Linked DNA regions of Oreochromis niloticus. The protein of the gene in region 1 interacts with the protein of each later gene in a biochemical or structural test. Links are inferred from orthologs where the notes say so. Each region holds a gene or a part of one and is shown on either strand. Other genes may lie near its edges.

What was found. The genes of interacting proteins can lie anywhere in the genome.
Region 2: the proteins of metabotropic glutamate receptor 7 (region 1) and pick1 form a complex in vitro, tested with the Homo sapiens proteins (2 studies listed by BioGRID, with this or other methods). The link is inferred for Oreochromis niloticus from reciprocal best matches to the Homo sapiens genes GRM7 and PICK1.

The regions. Positions count from the first base shown.
Region 1 is NC_031984.2:15,464,679-15,471,606, forward strand, and holds the start of metabotropic glutamate receptor 7, read right to left. Parts: upstream 3,051-6,928; 5' UTR 2,054-3,050; coding exon 1,550-2,053; intron 1-1,549. UniProt on the Homo sapiens protein: G-protein coupled receptor activated by glutamate that regulates axon outgrowth through the MAPK-cAMP-PKA signaling pathway during neuronal development.
Region 2 is NC_031969.2:9,657,689-9,665,626, forward strand, and holds the start of pick1 (PRKCA-binding protein), read right to left. Parts: upstream 3,005-7,938; 5' UTR 2,838-3,004; intron 2,606-2,837; exon of another isoform or gene 2,357-2,605; intron 2,350-2,356; 5' UTR 2,317-2,349; coding exon 2,276-2,316; intron 2,057-2,275; coding exon 1,945-2,056; intron 1,731-1,944; coding exon 1,602-1,730; intron 1,074-1,601; exon of another isoform or gene 651-1,073; intron 526-650; coding exon 459-525; intron 327-458; coding exon 237-326; intron 167-236; coding exon 113-166; intron 1-112. Other genes in the region: galectin-2, read left to right, coding at 3,756-3,764, 3,906-3,985, 4,205-4,376, 4,604-4,750. UniProt on the Homo sapiens protein: Probable adapter protein that bind to and organize the subcellular localization of a variety of membrane proteins containing some PDZ recognition sequence.

The DNA of each region.
Region 1 (6,928 bases):
CAAATGCATAAGTTTTTTATGTTACAGAGCTTGCACAAAACTGAGGAACTCTTGCAACCCTCGTGCCGTGCAACAAAATAACAAGTGCAGTTATGCTTCAAAGCATAACTGCAGGGTTTTGAAGATCTTGTAATAATAAAAATTTAATTTATTAAGTGAGCCTACAAAGAGAGAACAGGAACTAAAGCTAGGCTGAAGATTGTGGTGTTGTGGTGGGGACGATCAGTCCGGCAAAAGGAACCACAAAACCCGGATATAAAAAATGAACAAATAGAAATAAATATGTATATAGATATATGTATATAGACACAAATGTGTGGCATGTGTACGTGTCTGTAGAGTAGAAAGGGAAGACAACTGGGCGGTGGTTGGGGTAAAAGCTTGTTAAGTACTCCGACTGTCTTACAGATGCAATTAACCAGCTACTTACACAATTTGTCGAACTGAGCTGGAACAAAAACACTGACTGACAAGACTCTGACTTACAATCTGCAACCACAAATCATTAGCACCAACACTGCATGCAGCTCCTCCCCAGTTTAAATGCCACTTTCCTCGCACAGGAAAAACTGTACAGAATTATGCAAAAGCATGCACATGTTTTTTTGAGTAATTAAATACTTTGCTATGGAGATGTGTTTTAAATAATTAATCTTTCTGTACTGGTGCCTTGCTGCATTTCCCATTTCACTGCAGCACCAGCAGTGGGCCAACACCATCAGTTGACTCTCAGCCAACAGAAATAGAGACGTTTTCCTATACGCTCAAGTATGCCATTTGGAAATTAGTCTTATGAATTCCTTTCATTTACTTGCAGCCATCGAGCTCAATCAGGCTGTGAAGAGATGGAAACAAGCTCATTTTGCAGAAGGGAAGCCCCCCCCCCCCCCCGCTTCTTCCCCCGTAGGTAAAAGCAAAAGGAAACTCAAGCATAACTCAATGCTTTCAGGTTCAAAACAATTCATAAAACCGCCTGCAGTCTGACGTACAAGAGGTTCATATAATCATGTGCAATCATATGAAACAGGCCTTTTATTCTCAGGAGGGGGTTGTTGAGTTTGGGTGTGATTGTGTCAGGCTGTCAGTGCCCACTCATCCAGACTCCGGAGTGAGACTGGAACAGACGGGAGCTGTTCTTTCAGCACCACCGGGGACAAGCAACAGCACTCTCAGCTGTCTCATCCACACAGTCTAGTGGATTGAAAAACCACCCAAACTCACTTCACCTTCCTTTTATGCCCCGTTTTAAGATGGAGAGAGGCATCAGTGAGAACACATCGAATCCAATACCACCATCTGAAAATAGATTCTTGCTCGTGATGGATTCTCTCTTATTTATTTATTTATTTATTTATTGTTTTTTCTCAGACACAGTTTTCAGCTGTTTCACTTTTGCTGTCCTTTCAAGCGGCTTTTGGGCAACAAAAAACTGCGTTTACCCCTCTCCAAAGCGCATTTTTACCCCCAAATTCAACAAACTACTGCTGCAATAGTGGAAAAAATACGATTATCTTAAAGCCACAAAACTAGTGCACACGCTCAGACTTGCCTGGAAGAGGCGTAGGATGTTGGCAACCATAATCGATACTGAACTCGCCGAGGCTCCGATGACTCCCACCACTTTTTCAGGCTTGACAAACACCGGTGGGTCCCCGTTAGTGCACCGCACGTCGGAGGTGTCCTTCGTGATCAGCGCTTGCACGAAAGTTAACGATTGCTCCAGCGCATAAGTATCCCTCGAACAAGTGTCCAGCACCCGTGCGCCTAAGGTGATGTTGGGTAAGAGTTGCTCGTCCTGGTTAATTTGGTCCAAAGCGTACATCATGGCCTCAAGCCGCTGGATGCCGTTCTCTTTTTTGAGGTCCCCGCACGGCGCACCATCGATTCCTCTGGCATGCACCGGGAAGAGTCCGCCGAGGGTCAGGTGTCCCTCAGTCCGTATCGAATGGGGTGCATAAGTCTCCTGAGGCAGCGCGAAATCTATCACAGTCCTCATAAGCCAAAACACCCTCCATATAAAGCTCAGCTTCACGCGTACACCGGGACAAGCCATGATCAACTTTTAGGAAGGAGAAGCCTGCGATCCGCCGATGATGAGACCAGAAGAGGCTAAGAAGTTTGCTAAAACGAACCCATTCTTGTCACCAGGGAGGAGATTCAACAAGCTGGGCTGAGGAACCAAGGGGCAGCAGAAGGCTCAGGCGAACTGCGCCCATCGTTTTACAGCCAGGAGTGAGCGGTTAAGCTTGTTGAATAGTGAAGCCCCTAACGGAAATTTAGCGCTCTCAGGAAGGGAGGCTACATCCATTAGTTAGAGAGAATATCACTGAAAGGAGACGAAAACCCGCAGCAAATTATCTGGCCTAATTTTGTCCATTTATGCTAAATCCAAAGAGCGAATAGAAACACAATGAAACCGCTGCGAGGAACTGGCATATCTTCACAACCCAAAGCCCAGAATTTAAGTATCGTGTAGTAGAAATTATCGCTTTAAATCAATACTTCTTAGGACCGGCAGAAGTGGGTGACATTCTTCTTCCCCAGAACAACTCCACGGGAGCGCAGGAATGGCTCGCTCGGCTGTGGTGTTTGTCTCCCAGGGGTGCATATCATCTCCACAGTCTCCAAAGGAGGGGAGGGAATGACGGAGGGAGGGAGGGAATGAGGGGGGGTGGGTTAAAAGAAAAAGGAAAAACGCGGTTAGTGTGAACGCAAACGTGCGTTCATTAAGCAGTGGACTAAGAAAAACCAGCTAATTAAATCCCCGGCTCTTTCTCAGTCTCCGCAACCGGTCGCCTTTATACAAAATGAATGAGTCACAGCGAGGGATTCACTGTGTGCGCCGAGTTTTCAGCCCCCTTTCGACGCGAGACGTCATTCAGCTGGCAGCAAAAAAGAAAAAGGAAAAGGGAAAAAAAGATTAGCATCACTTTGTGGAAAGGTTTCCAGGAAGTTAGCGCTCACTGTCTTCAGACAGAAGAGAAGGTAAACAAGGCAAACAAATGCACTTACAGACTTGAATAATAAGACAATTGTTCCTCTGAGTGCCTCTCAGTGGCTGCATCTCAGCATTATAATCTCTGTCTCCCTACTTCCCCTCCCTCCGTTATCCCCCTCAAACACACACACACACACACATACACACACACACACACACATACACACACACACATACACACAAAAGTGTTTTCCCCCCTCTTTTCTTTTGATGTTGACGGTGGCAGGCATGAAACAGAGATCTGTGGCATTATGAAAACACAGAAGAGCTGCAGGTATGAAGGGCTTCACCCGCCGACTAAAAAGTGGCTTTCCTGAAATAGTTTTGGATTCATTACTGATGCACCTTTAAAACGGAGCAGAGAGGGAGGTACGGGAGGGAGAGAGAGCATAGCAGACACGTTTGGAGGGGTCCAGGCTGGTCTCCAAGGCAACCCTTCTTCAGAAGACTCCTGATTCATCCTGTGCAACCCTCCTGCCCCCACAAATACACGCATATCACCCCCCACCCAACACCCTCTACCACACACGCACATCATCATCATCATCCTGGCTAAACATACTGGTCCACAGACTGGTGAGAATTGCCCACACCTTTAGGAGCACGGAGGCCTCACATCTTCCTAACAAAACTCTATCATCACCAAACTATTTAATTGCACAGATGGTACTTTTACAAACAAGCAGATTATGATAATTTGCTTTTGTGGGCATGCATTAGCCAGGGACTCACTTGGCAATTTGAGGCATTAATTAAAAAGGTAGTTTCTGCTTGGCATTCAAAGTAAATCGCACATTCAAAATAACAACAATAATCATTGTAGTCTCTGCTAATGAGTACATGTTCAGTGGGTTACGTGGAGAGAAGGGGAGCGAGAGAAGAGGTGCCCGCTGAGCACTCTGTTAATACATAATTCATGCATAAGCCTTCATTTTCAAGTAACCTTAGAAACTGACCACTCGTGAGCCAGCCAACACACATGCAGCAACAGCATCCACATTGTTGGTGGAAAAGCAAAGTACAGCAGCACTCTGGGAAACAGGAAACAGGAAGTGGATTACAGGATAAGTCCCTTAAGTTGGTTTATCTTTGAATAATAAGCAGCCTCAGAGAGTTGCTTTATCGTGAAAATGATTATGAGGCATGGAATCCCATTTTATGAACGTGTTCATTCCATTAGTTTCTGTTCAATTAAAAGATTAGAAAAGGCGATGTAGTTCTAATTGAAACATGTCCTATTGACATTACAGGCTTGGATGGACAAATTTCTAATTAATTAAGTTGAGATTAATTCGAGCCTAATCCGGCCATGTAGTGTATTTATCTTCATTAGCCACGCTGAGTACATGAATATCTTTCAACAGGCAAATCGTGCATGTCCAATGTGGTTTTGGGTGCACATACTGTACACTGGGGCCAAAATTCATGAGATGCACTAAAAATACATTTAAGGAAACTGTGTGGGAACTGCAGGGAACAGACTGCTGAGGAGAGAAACCAGGGATGTGAGAGGGGAGGGAGGCAGATGGCCACCTCCACAGTGAGCACACTGAGACAGACAGGAAGGCAGGACTGGAAAAATGCAGCAACAGCCTTTACAAATGACACCCGGAGAGACTGGTGTCGCAACGCACGACACTAATTCCCCGGCTCGGACTCGGCGGTGAGACTCCCACTTACACTGTCAATGGAAAGGTTACTTTTGAAAAATGGGGCCCTCACCGTGATTTAATTCACTGACTAACCCCAGGAAGAGGGGCCTTTTCCCCGGGGAGGCTGTGTGATTTAGACTGAGATTACACTTTGGTTTGGATCCTTTCTTTCTCTCCCCTTCCTCGCTTTTATACAGACACAGAGTCACGTGTCTGCGCACTCAAACAAATTCCATTTCACTTTCATCATGGGATGAAGTAGGAAGCAACAAGAAAGAGGAATGAGAGGTTTATGTTTAATACACAGCTGACCAAAAAACCAAATAGAGTCATAGTTTTCACATGGCAGGGGTGCACAATATTTAACAGGCATCCTGTCAGATAAATTATGGTCTCCTTTGAAAAAGCCAGAGCTTTTGTTTCAAGCATTCAATAACTTGTCTGCTCGATACGGTCTTTTTCAAGTCAATTACAGGGGCTGGCACTGTGTGCTCCACTAAAGAACGACGAATCCAAGAACAATAAAAAGTCAACATCCAGGACAAGAGGCAATAAGGTTTCTTTTTGGGCAGACACTAGGCACAATGGGCTCTGTCTGTCAAATTAATTAACCTGGAAACCTGTTTAATTCCCAGACTCGAATGAAAGGGCGACGGTATCCACAGGAAAGAAATAACTCCAGAGCAGGAGGTAATTGCACGTCGAGGTGATTTGTTCGAAAACACACAGGCCACCAGCCTGTTTGGAGTCATGCATATTCTGCGAGGGGTGAGGTGTTAATGTTAGATCAATGTAGGGGCATTGTTAGATTAGCAACATGAAGGTCACTGAGCTGCTGGGCTCCCTTGTCTCATTTTGTACCATCTGCTTTGGAATAATAAAAATCAGGGCTATCCAAGCTTTTCTGTACCACTGTAACCAGAAATAGTGCCTGTAAGGAGACAAAAAAAAGACATGTTGTAATTCTACAGGCGTGCTGCATGAGAAGACAAATTCTTACCTCGTCTGCTGTTTATGCCAAAGACAAAGCAGGTGCAGTGCAGCTAGGACGATAGACTCTCCACACTCTCAATTACGATTGTAATCCATCTGTCATACCCTCTCCCTTCTAATTATGTCTCTGTAAAGCTGCTGCTGTGAGCTCAGTACCCATTCACACTCTGAAATGTGAAAGATAGACAGATAATGCACAAGTGACCACTGGAATACATAACTGTAGTGGGCAGCTTGGTGACAGCTGGTTTTCTCGTGTTTGAGTTTGCTTACATTATAAGTGCACATTGGCAAAAATACAAAGTGAGAAAATGGAAACCCAGTATAATATTAATGTAAACTATAGCTGTTTTTCTTATATAAGGCAAGTGTCTACTGCTTATTGTGAGCCAGCATGGTTGTGATAATGACTAAAGGTGTTATATGTGACAACAATGAATCCAAAGGTGCTGACCTTCCACCCACAGAGGCCAAGAATTTTCCAGAGACCCTATTAGTGGGTAACTGGGCCTTTGTTTTGATGGCTAACTTCATGCTCCACTGGACTCACATGGTAAGTGGGTGCAGCTGTGTTAGTTAGCCAGGAGGACTTTAGCCACAAATGTGATTGTGATAACAAATGCCTATTGCCGTACGTCCGTTAATTAGCCAATGTTTAGAGCAGCTCTGTGACATTTTTCTTTTTTTTTCATCTCAAGTGTTTTTACGTTGCCTTGTGAAAGAGGAGATTTTATCCTCAGTCTCGGTCAGTGAGTCATTACAGCCCCTCTTCATCTGTGTTTCTGTTTTATGGGGATGATACGACAGGCCTGTGAAAGAATATAAAAAGCTACAGCCGCCATTTGTTTATCTCATCTTACCAAAGGATAAAGATTAAAAGCAGAGGAGAAAATTTAGGCTGGGTTAGTCCAAAAAAACCAAACCCCCCAACAAACAAAAAGCCTATAGGGTAAAGACACAAACAGGGGTTAAAATAAAGTCAGTGGAAAGATGATATAGCCAGGCTTAAAGTCAAAATCTAGTTTTTTTCTATAGTTGCTACTCAGACTACACAGCTTGTAACACTAAAGGCAACAGCAAGCTCCAGGTATCGACTGTACAGCTTGCAGGATTTTAGATGATGTATACTTATTGGCGATGGACATACAGTGCACTTGATGAGGAGTTGACAGAGAGGTTTCGATTCCGTAGAAGCGATTTATTTAAACCTGCTGAGAAGCTGTTGCAGTTCTTGCTGGACAAAATCCAAACGTTGGTTTGTACCACTGACTGGTTTCCCCATCAA
Region 2 (7,938 bases), on another chromosome or scaffold:
AACAGAGAACAACAGGATCTCTGTGGATTAAAAGCTCTCTCATATCTGTGATTATGGAGTTTTCACACTACATGATTAACTTGTTTAGGTAAAGAATCTTATCATTCGTTACCTTTGTACAGCTCTGCCGTTTTCTCCAGCTCTTCCAGTCTTTTGACAAGTCCATCTGCAAAGTACAACGAGTTAAATCTAAGTAGATATGAACAAACCTGCAGTTACCATCCTAGCAGTCTTACCATTGCATAGAATAGCTCTACTGAGTCCAAGAGCATCCGCTGTTCCTGAGCTCAAATTCTCTACAAGTCGATGTTTGACTTTTTTCAGCACTGAAACATATAAAATATCAATGTTTAACACAAACTAACGCAGCAGTGAAAAAGATTTGTTGAGAATCTGAAAGAATGCAGTACACAGCACTGCAGTGCACGCTTCAAAGGAAGTAACATAAACATAAATACCTATGTCCAGAGACTTCCCCTGTTTTGGATCAGCCTGCAGCTTATTGTAGTGGATTACTGCCTCTCCCTGTGAAAATAGGATCAACAGTTAAATAACCCAAATAAATAAATATAAACATGGGATGGTGAAAGGAAGAGCATCTATTGTAGCAGTACTAAATATAAGAAATAGAACTATGTGTTAGCTTTTGTTGAGATTATGCAAGAATGCAGTACAAAGCACTGCTATGCATGCTTCAAAGAAAGTAACATTTCACCTTAGTACATAAGTTAAAATTAATAATGTGCAACATTTATGGTGTTAAGTGTGAAATGTATTTTCAGTGACGGGCAGCAGCAACACCACCTAATCCTTTTAATCCCACACTGAACCCCATCTTTATCCCACCACGCAGGAAGTCATGGAATTTTTTGGGTTGTGAACAAAGGATGCCAAAAACAACAGCGCCACTATTCACCGGTGATGGTACGCCACATGCTACGGGCTATTGTCCCGACCTCTTCAGCACAGCTTAGCAAACCAGTGAAGTCACTCCTACAGTGTCCTGTCTGCAGTGGGAAGGTGGGCTTACACTCATATCTCACTAACTGTTGGACTGTGCTGGACATAAAAAAGTGAGTCATCTTTGAATTCTTTTCAAAATTTCTTTTAAATGACACACAGTGTTTCAACATGCAAGTAAAGCTATGGTTTGGTTCTTTTTTTTATTCATTATGGGGCATTGGTCATCAGAGGTGAGGGTGAGTATGATGAGTCGCTGTCTTTAGGTTTAAAAGATTAAAAACAGGAGTTTAATAATAGAGCTCATGTTAACATCATTATTTCAACAGGGCTGTCATAAGACTTTCACTGCAATGATACTATTATTTTATTCAAAATAATCCATGGAAATAATCATCACATCACAACAACTACCAAAAATCTGAAAAGGCTAATAAAGCTATCAGTCGAATGCATCTTTTTCTTCAGTGTGCATGGAAGTGGTGAGCGTTTTTGTAGCTACAGATGCACAAATGACTGTATTATTATTCTAAACTGTGTGCATTATTATCACACTGGTAATATTCAATGTTAAATAGCAGTTATGGTCAATAGTGTAATGCTGAGTTTTTAATAACCTCCCACTTTCAGAGTCTGTGTACCTGCACAGCTTGAATCATCTTGGCCACCTCCACCTTAGTTTTGCCCTTGACTGCTTTCCCGTTCACACCTGTGATTTCATCACCTGCTGCCAGCGTCCCATCCAAAGCTGCTGGTGTGTTATCAAAGACCTGCAAAGCAACAGCAACCACATTTAAAAAACCGTGACAAAGTACAGTTATTTTTCCTGAAAAAGAGGCGATAAAGCTGCATTTAATGACCCATATGCCAAACAACAGCAAACTGAGACAGATACAGTCTTATAACATTTAAAGCATGATAGAAATATCTGGTTATAGATGACATTTTAATAAATAAAGTCATAATAAATTATTCTGTGTGCACCTGAACAATGTAGAGGCAAGGGCAGTACTGAGCCCCACCACCAATGCTGATGCCTATAAGATTATTAGCATCTTTCTTCAGAGTCACAGTCCCAGGCACTGTTGGTATCCCCCTGTTAAGAGAGAAAAAAAAACACTAAATTGAGTTTTGAAGCATTTTGTTCAGCTTATTCTGGGACATTCTGTAATGAGGGAACTGTATCACAGTTTATATCAAGACATTCACCCTATCAGTTACTGTTTTAGATGTTTAATAATGTTTTATGTTTATAATGTATGAGAAGCATATGTGATTCGCCTGGATGGGTAGAGAAAGCTCATTAATGACTCACAGTTTGTCCTCCTCCAATTCATAGTCCATATCTGTGAACATTGCAGGACAGCGTCACTCCTGTCCCTCAGAAACCTGCGACAGAGTACAATAAAACAGAAATCAAAGGAAGTTTTAACTGGATCTAGTGATCAGAAAACCCAAGAAACGCTCATTAAAAGAGTGACAATCAGAACACGTTTAAGAGTTTGAGCTACCGGCGAATTTGAAAGTAGTCTATAATCAGATGGACTATCGACAATCACCAAAATTGGCAGCTTTGCTTTCCTGATGCGGCAAATTTAATCGCTGTGGAGTCAGTGAGGAAACGCTGGAGCAGAGCAAACAGCTGGTAACCCGCAGTGCATGCTAACATCCTAACAACAACCATTTAAATACGTTTTAATTAATGTAACTGTTGCACTTAATATATCTGCATGCACACACAAACCAGTCACTGTTAGATTTCATTACAGTGACCGAGGTCAGTAAGTTGGATTATTAGCTGCTAGCCTGTAGGCTAATAGCAGGTGTATTTAGCTAATGTTGTCCCCTGAAACGTCAGCAGGCCATTAACAATTTACCTTTCTTAGACGTCGCACAGAGTCGTCATAAAGATATTCTTTAGTGTGCATAAAATCAAAATATCTTTTGTTGAATCGCCCTTTTTATTCGCAATTATCTCAACTTCTCGATCTAAAGACAGCTTCTATTTACTTTATTTTGTCACTTCCGGCAGGATGACGGAAGTTGTTGTTAAGACGTATTACCAAAGGAAGGACTGGATGATCATTTTCTAGTTTTGTCTTAGAGTCTATAATTCCATATTCCTCAGTGTAAATGATACAGATTATTTCTTTTAAACTTCTCATCAGCTCATATGAAAACACTGTCATTGTATTTTCCAGATTTAATCAAAGTCCTTCCAGGATTCACTTGTTTCTAACTTAGACTACGCGTTTTACTGCCATCCTGTGGTTAGAGTGTCAACCTGCACCTGCATGAAATTTGTCAAATATAATATTATTACAGACTGTTTTTGATGGGAAAAGGGATGTAGATTTGACTAATGATCTTGTTTGTAGAAATTTTATTTGTGAAGCATACAAATACAATTGTTGCAAAATAGACTTATTGCATGGGTATGGTACACTAGTATAGATTATTTTGTTCTAGAGTCATCTGCAGTATATTGAAGGCCCTTATTAATGTGCAAAATGAATTCCAATGAAAAATAGAAAAAGCACATTAATTTGTTCATTTACTAATTTGCTGTTACAGGTGATTAAACAGAGTAGTGCTTGTACTGAATATAGTATTTGGCAAAGATGATGATGATGTTGAATGAGTCAGTGTTAAAAGAGAATCTTACTTAAACTCATGTCTTGCATCATAAATAAACTAGAATTCACAGTTACCCCATTTACCTTTTTTTCTCCCAGCACAGTAGACTGTACCTCTGTTGAAACTCCATCATCCAGGACTGTTCACCAGCAACCAGTATGAGTATGGTAAGCTTAGGTTTGTGTATGCCACTACATGTCAGCAAATTAACTACATTTTACCCTTTAATAAATTATTTGCAAAACTGAAAATGCAAAGTTATTTCATTCTCAAGACTTCTTCAGGTTATATTCTAACCATGTGTTCAGGAACTCGAACTGAAGAATGTGGATTTGAGAGCTGGAGATGAGCTGAAAATAAAAGGGGTAATTCTGCATGATGCAGAGAGGTAAGCTAACAAAACTCATTTATTTTTTCCATACAGTAACCATATAAATTGAATGAAAGCTACATATGCTGTTAATCCTGCAGTAGGAAAATCTAATCTAGCACAAAGTGGACTTTTACAAATTATATTATATTTTGTACTCCACTGTGTGATCTATGTGTTCAAAGCTCTGCAAGCCATTGATATTAAAATCAAGTTTGTACAACGTCTGATCAACAGATTCCAGATTGATCTCGGCTGTGATGCAGATGACCTGGCACTGCACTTCAATCCTCGGTTCCATGATGACACTGATGGTGCTGTGCTGGTGTGCAACTCAAAGATTGCTGGTTGCTGGGGCGATGAAAAACGGGAAATTCACAACCCCCTACAGAGGGGTGCTGATGTCAAGGTGAGGGAATGTGATCGAAGTAAATGATGATGTACTGAGTGTCTGAGTATTAAAAATATCACAAAGGTTTTTGATTGGATCAAATGGATATTTGATTTACCCACATAAAACACAAAAAACACACTAATACTCTTGCAGATATTAAGCTGGGCGATGCAAGTTGGGTTGCAATTGATTGTGTCTTGGAAAAAATGTTTACTTATGAATTAATTTTTCTTCTGTTTCAGATTGTGTTGAAGCTGGCTGAAGACATGTTTGAGGTGGAACTTCCTGATGGACAGGAAGTCCAGTTTCCAAATCGTGTTGGTATGGGTACCATCAGCTACATCAGAGTCACGGGGGACTTCAAACTGAAATCCTTTAAGATCTGCTAAGAGATACAACTGTAGTAAACAGATGCTGTGTTTAACACTTTAGTTATAGATGAGGTTTGACTGTCTGAATGTTATTCTTACAATAACAGTCAGTTATTGACTGAAGAATCATTAAGAGATAAAGAGAAATTAATACATTTAAGTGATTTAAAATGTCCTGTTGTGCAAAAATGATATAAAATGTTTACAGTCAAATAATCATGTTTTGTCATCTTTAAGGTTTTGCAGCCTCTCACAAACACAGTATAAGTCGAGGCATGAAAGAGTAAAAGTATGATACAGAACAATAGAAGAAAATGCAAATATATTAGTTCTTTGCTAAATCCAATGACTGATTATTTATAGTTATGTAAACATGCAGATAAAACATGCAGAGAAAAATGGCTCCAAATGATACAAAATGCATGTGGGGCACGAGGGTTCCTGGTTAACACTTTTCTTTGTGGAGTTTGTATGTTACTTGTGCCTCCATAGGTTTCCAGTTTCCTTTGAAATGCATGTTAGGTTAACTGGTGATTTGGTGTACAGGACTGCACAGAGTCCAGTGGAAACTTTCTTTTTCACATGACTTTCATAGCTCTAGTCTGGTCTCTCAAACAGCTCAGAGTGCTTTAGACTCCCTTATTGTTTCAATAGAAATCAGGAGAGTAAGTAGCTGCTCAGTTGGCATATTAAGTGTTGAAGTTCATGACAGTTCAATTAAAAAAAAAAAAAAGATTAAAAGTATAGCGTGCTTGGAATGGTGGTCAGTGAAAGCTTCTTCTACATGGCAACACAGCTTAAGTTAGGAAAGTTTGATGTAAATAAACCACAAGACTTTTAGAACAATTTGAATTAGACAGAAAAGACCAAAGATTTTTGGCCGTAATGCACAACACAATTGGTGAAAACCAAACTTGCCACAGGACCTGGGCACCTTGCAGTCTTTGAGTCACATTATAATTCTGATCATTTAACAGTACATATCCATATAGTTATATATATGTATAAAAACATATCTCATACTTGTGAGACTTCAGAGGTGTAAACATCACAGCAGATGCCTTTGAGTCAAAGTAACTGAGAATAAAACTGAAAAATATGAAGGAGATTTTCCTGGCCTGGCTTTTAATAGCAGATAACCTTAAAAATATTCTGCAGTGGAACAAAAACTGAAGAAAACCATGACTCAACAAATGACCATTACCTGATGCTGCTGAAGTGAAGCACAGCGTCTTTTTGTAGAATCCTTTTACCTGCTCTCATTTGCCGTTTTAGCTGGGTTTTTTTTAAAATTGTTTGTGAGCTTACACCTGATATTTTGGCATTTCTGGCAAAATACACTTATATTTAAAAATCCATTGAGGATTTAATTAATTGATTTCACATTATTCAAACTAAGATTTGGATCAGAAAATCGATAGTTTTTTTTAAAAATTCACTCCTATATATTAGGTAGAAAGTGAATTATTCATCCTCAAATTGATGTGTTAGAAGCAGGAAAAATGTGTAATAGTAAGGATTTGAGTAAGTTTGACAAGGAACAAATTGTGATGGGTAGACGACTGAGTCACAGCATCTCTAAAAGTACAGCTCTTTTGGGGCGTCCCTGGTCTGCATTTGTCAGTATCTATCAAATGTTGTCCAAGAAAGAAACAGTGATGAATCAGTAACAGGGTCATGGGGACCCAAGTCTCATTGGCTGGCTTGTGTATTTCGAGATGAGCTACTTTAAAGCAGATTATCAAAAAAAAAGTTCATGGTGGTTCTGACAGAAAGGTGTCAGAATACACATAACAGTTTGGTGCATATAGGGCTGCATGGCCACAGACCACTCAGGGTGCCCATGCTGACCCCTGTCCAACACAGCACCAGAACTGGACCACAGAAGAATGGAAGAGGGTGGCCTGGTCTCATCAATCAGGTTCTCGTTTACATCACCTGGAGGACCGGGTGAGTTTGCATTGCTTAACTGGGCAACACCTGGTACCAGGATGCACTATTGGAAGAAGGCAAGCTGGCGGAGGCAGTGTGATGCTTTGGGAAATGTTCTGCCGGGAAGCTTTAGATCCTGCCATCCATGCGGACTTTACTTTGACATGTACTGCCTACCTAAGCACTGTTATGGACCATGAACATCCTTTCATGGAAACAGTACTCCCTGATGGCTTTGGCCTCTTTCATCACAATAATGTGCCCTGCCACAAAACAGAAATGGCTCAGGAATAGCATGAGGAGCACAGTTTGATCCTTGATCCATCCACAGAATGATCCAATTTGATCCATAGTTTGATCCAGAGGCAGGGTTAACTATGGTGTCTATTTTAAATGGTCCAATGAAATTTGGTTTGTTAGACTCAGTTTGTGAGAGAATATTTTTAGAGGGAAAAAAAACCTTTTGACCTGCAGCATAGACGGTCCAACAACGATCTGTCACCTGCTTATTCTGTTCTGCTGTTTGCAGCAAGGCTGTTTTCATGTACTTCCACAGATGCCAACAGCAATGAAGATGGAGTGGGATTGATCGAACAGGCAATTAAGGCTAAAAAAGATCAGCAGTTTACCCTAGATAGGCTTTGAATGAACACAACCTGGTGGAAGAGGAGGTTAGGGAATTATGGGCATATTTGACCCAGGTGACCTCCAGGTGGAACTGAAAATATTAACACTAATAAACAGTAAAATACTTGTGCTAAACTAAAAACGCTCATTCATTCTCAAGTCTTCTTCTCATTCTAATAATGTATTTCTCAGCAACTTGAGCTGAATAATGTGGATCTGAGAGCTTGAGCGGAGTAGAAAATAAAAGGGGTTATTTTGAAGGATGCAGAGAGATCCATTGTAAAGATTGTTCATTCCTTGCTCATATCCCTCAACCTCTGGATGCGTTTGGTTGACTTTTAAGTTTTTTAGTTTGTGTCATCTGGTTTATTTTTAACACTTTCAAGCAAAGCTAGAAGCTAGCATAACGTCAGGTTATATTTTTAAGCAGTTTAAAGATATATATTTAAATGAAAAGACTAAATGTCTTTTCCTTCTTTAAAAAAGGGAACATTCTTCATTTTAATGGGCTAATTCTGGCAAATTGTACACTTTAGCATCAACCATCCTCTGCAGAGCAACCCCTGAACCATGAAAAAACTCTCTTTAACTAAATATTGCTGTAGATGTTGTGTATCTTGTAACATGGGTATGGTGGGTTTTTTTAG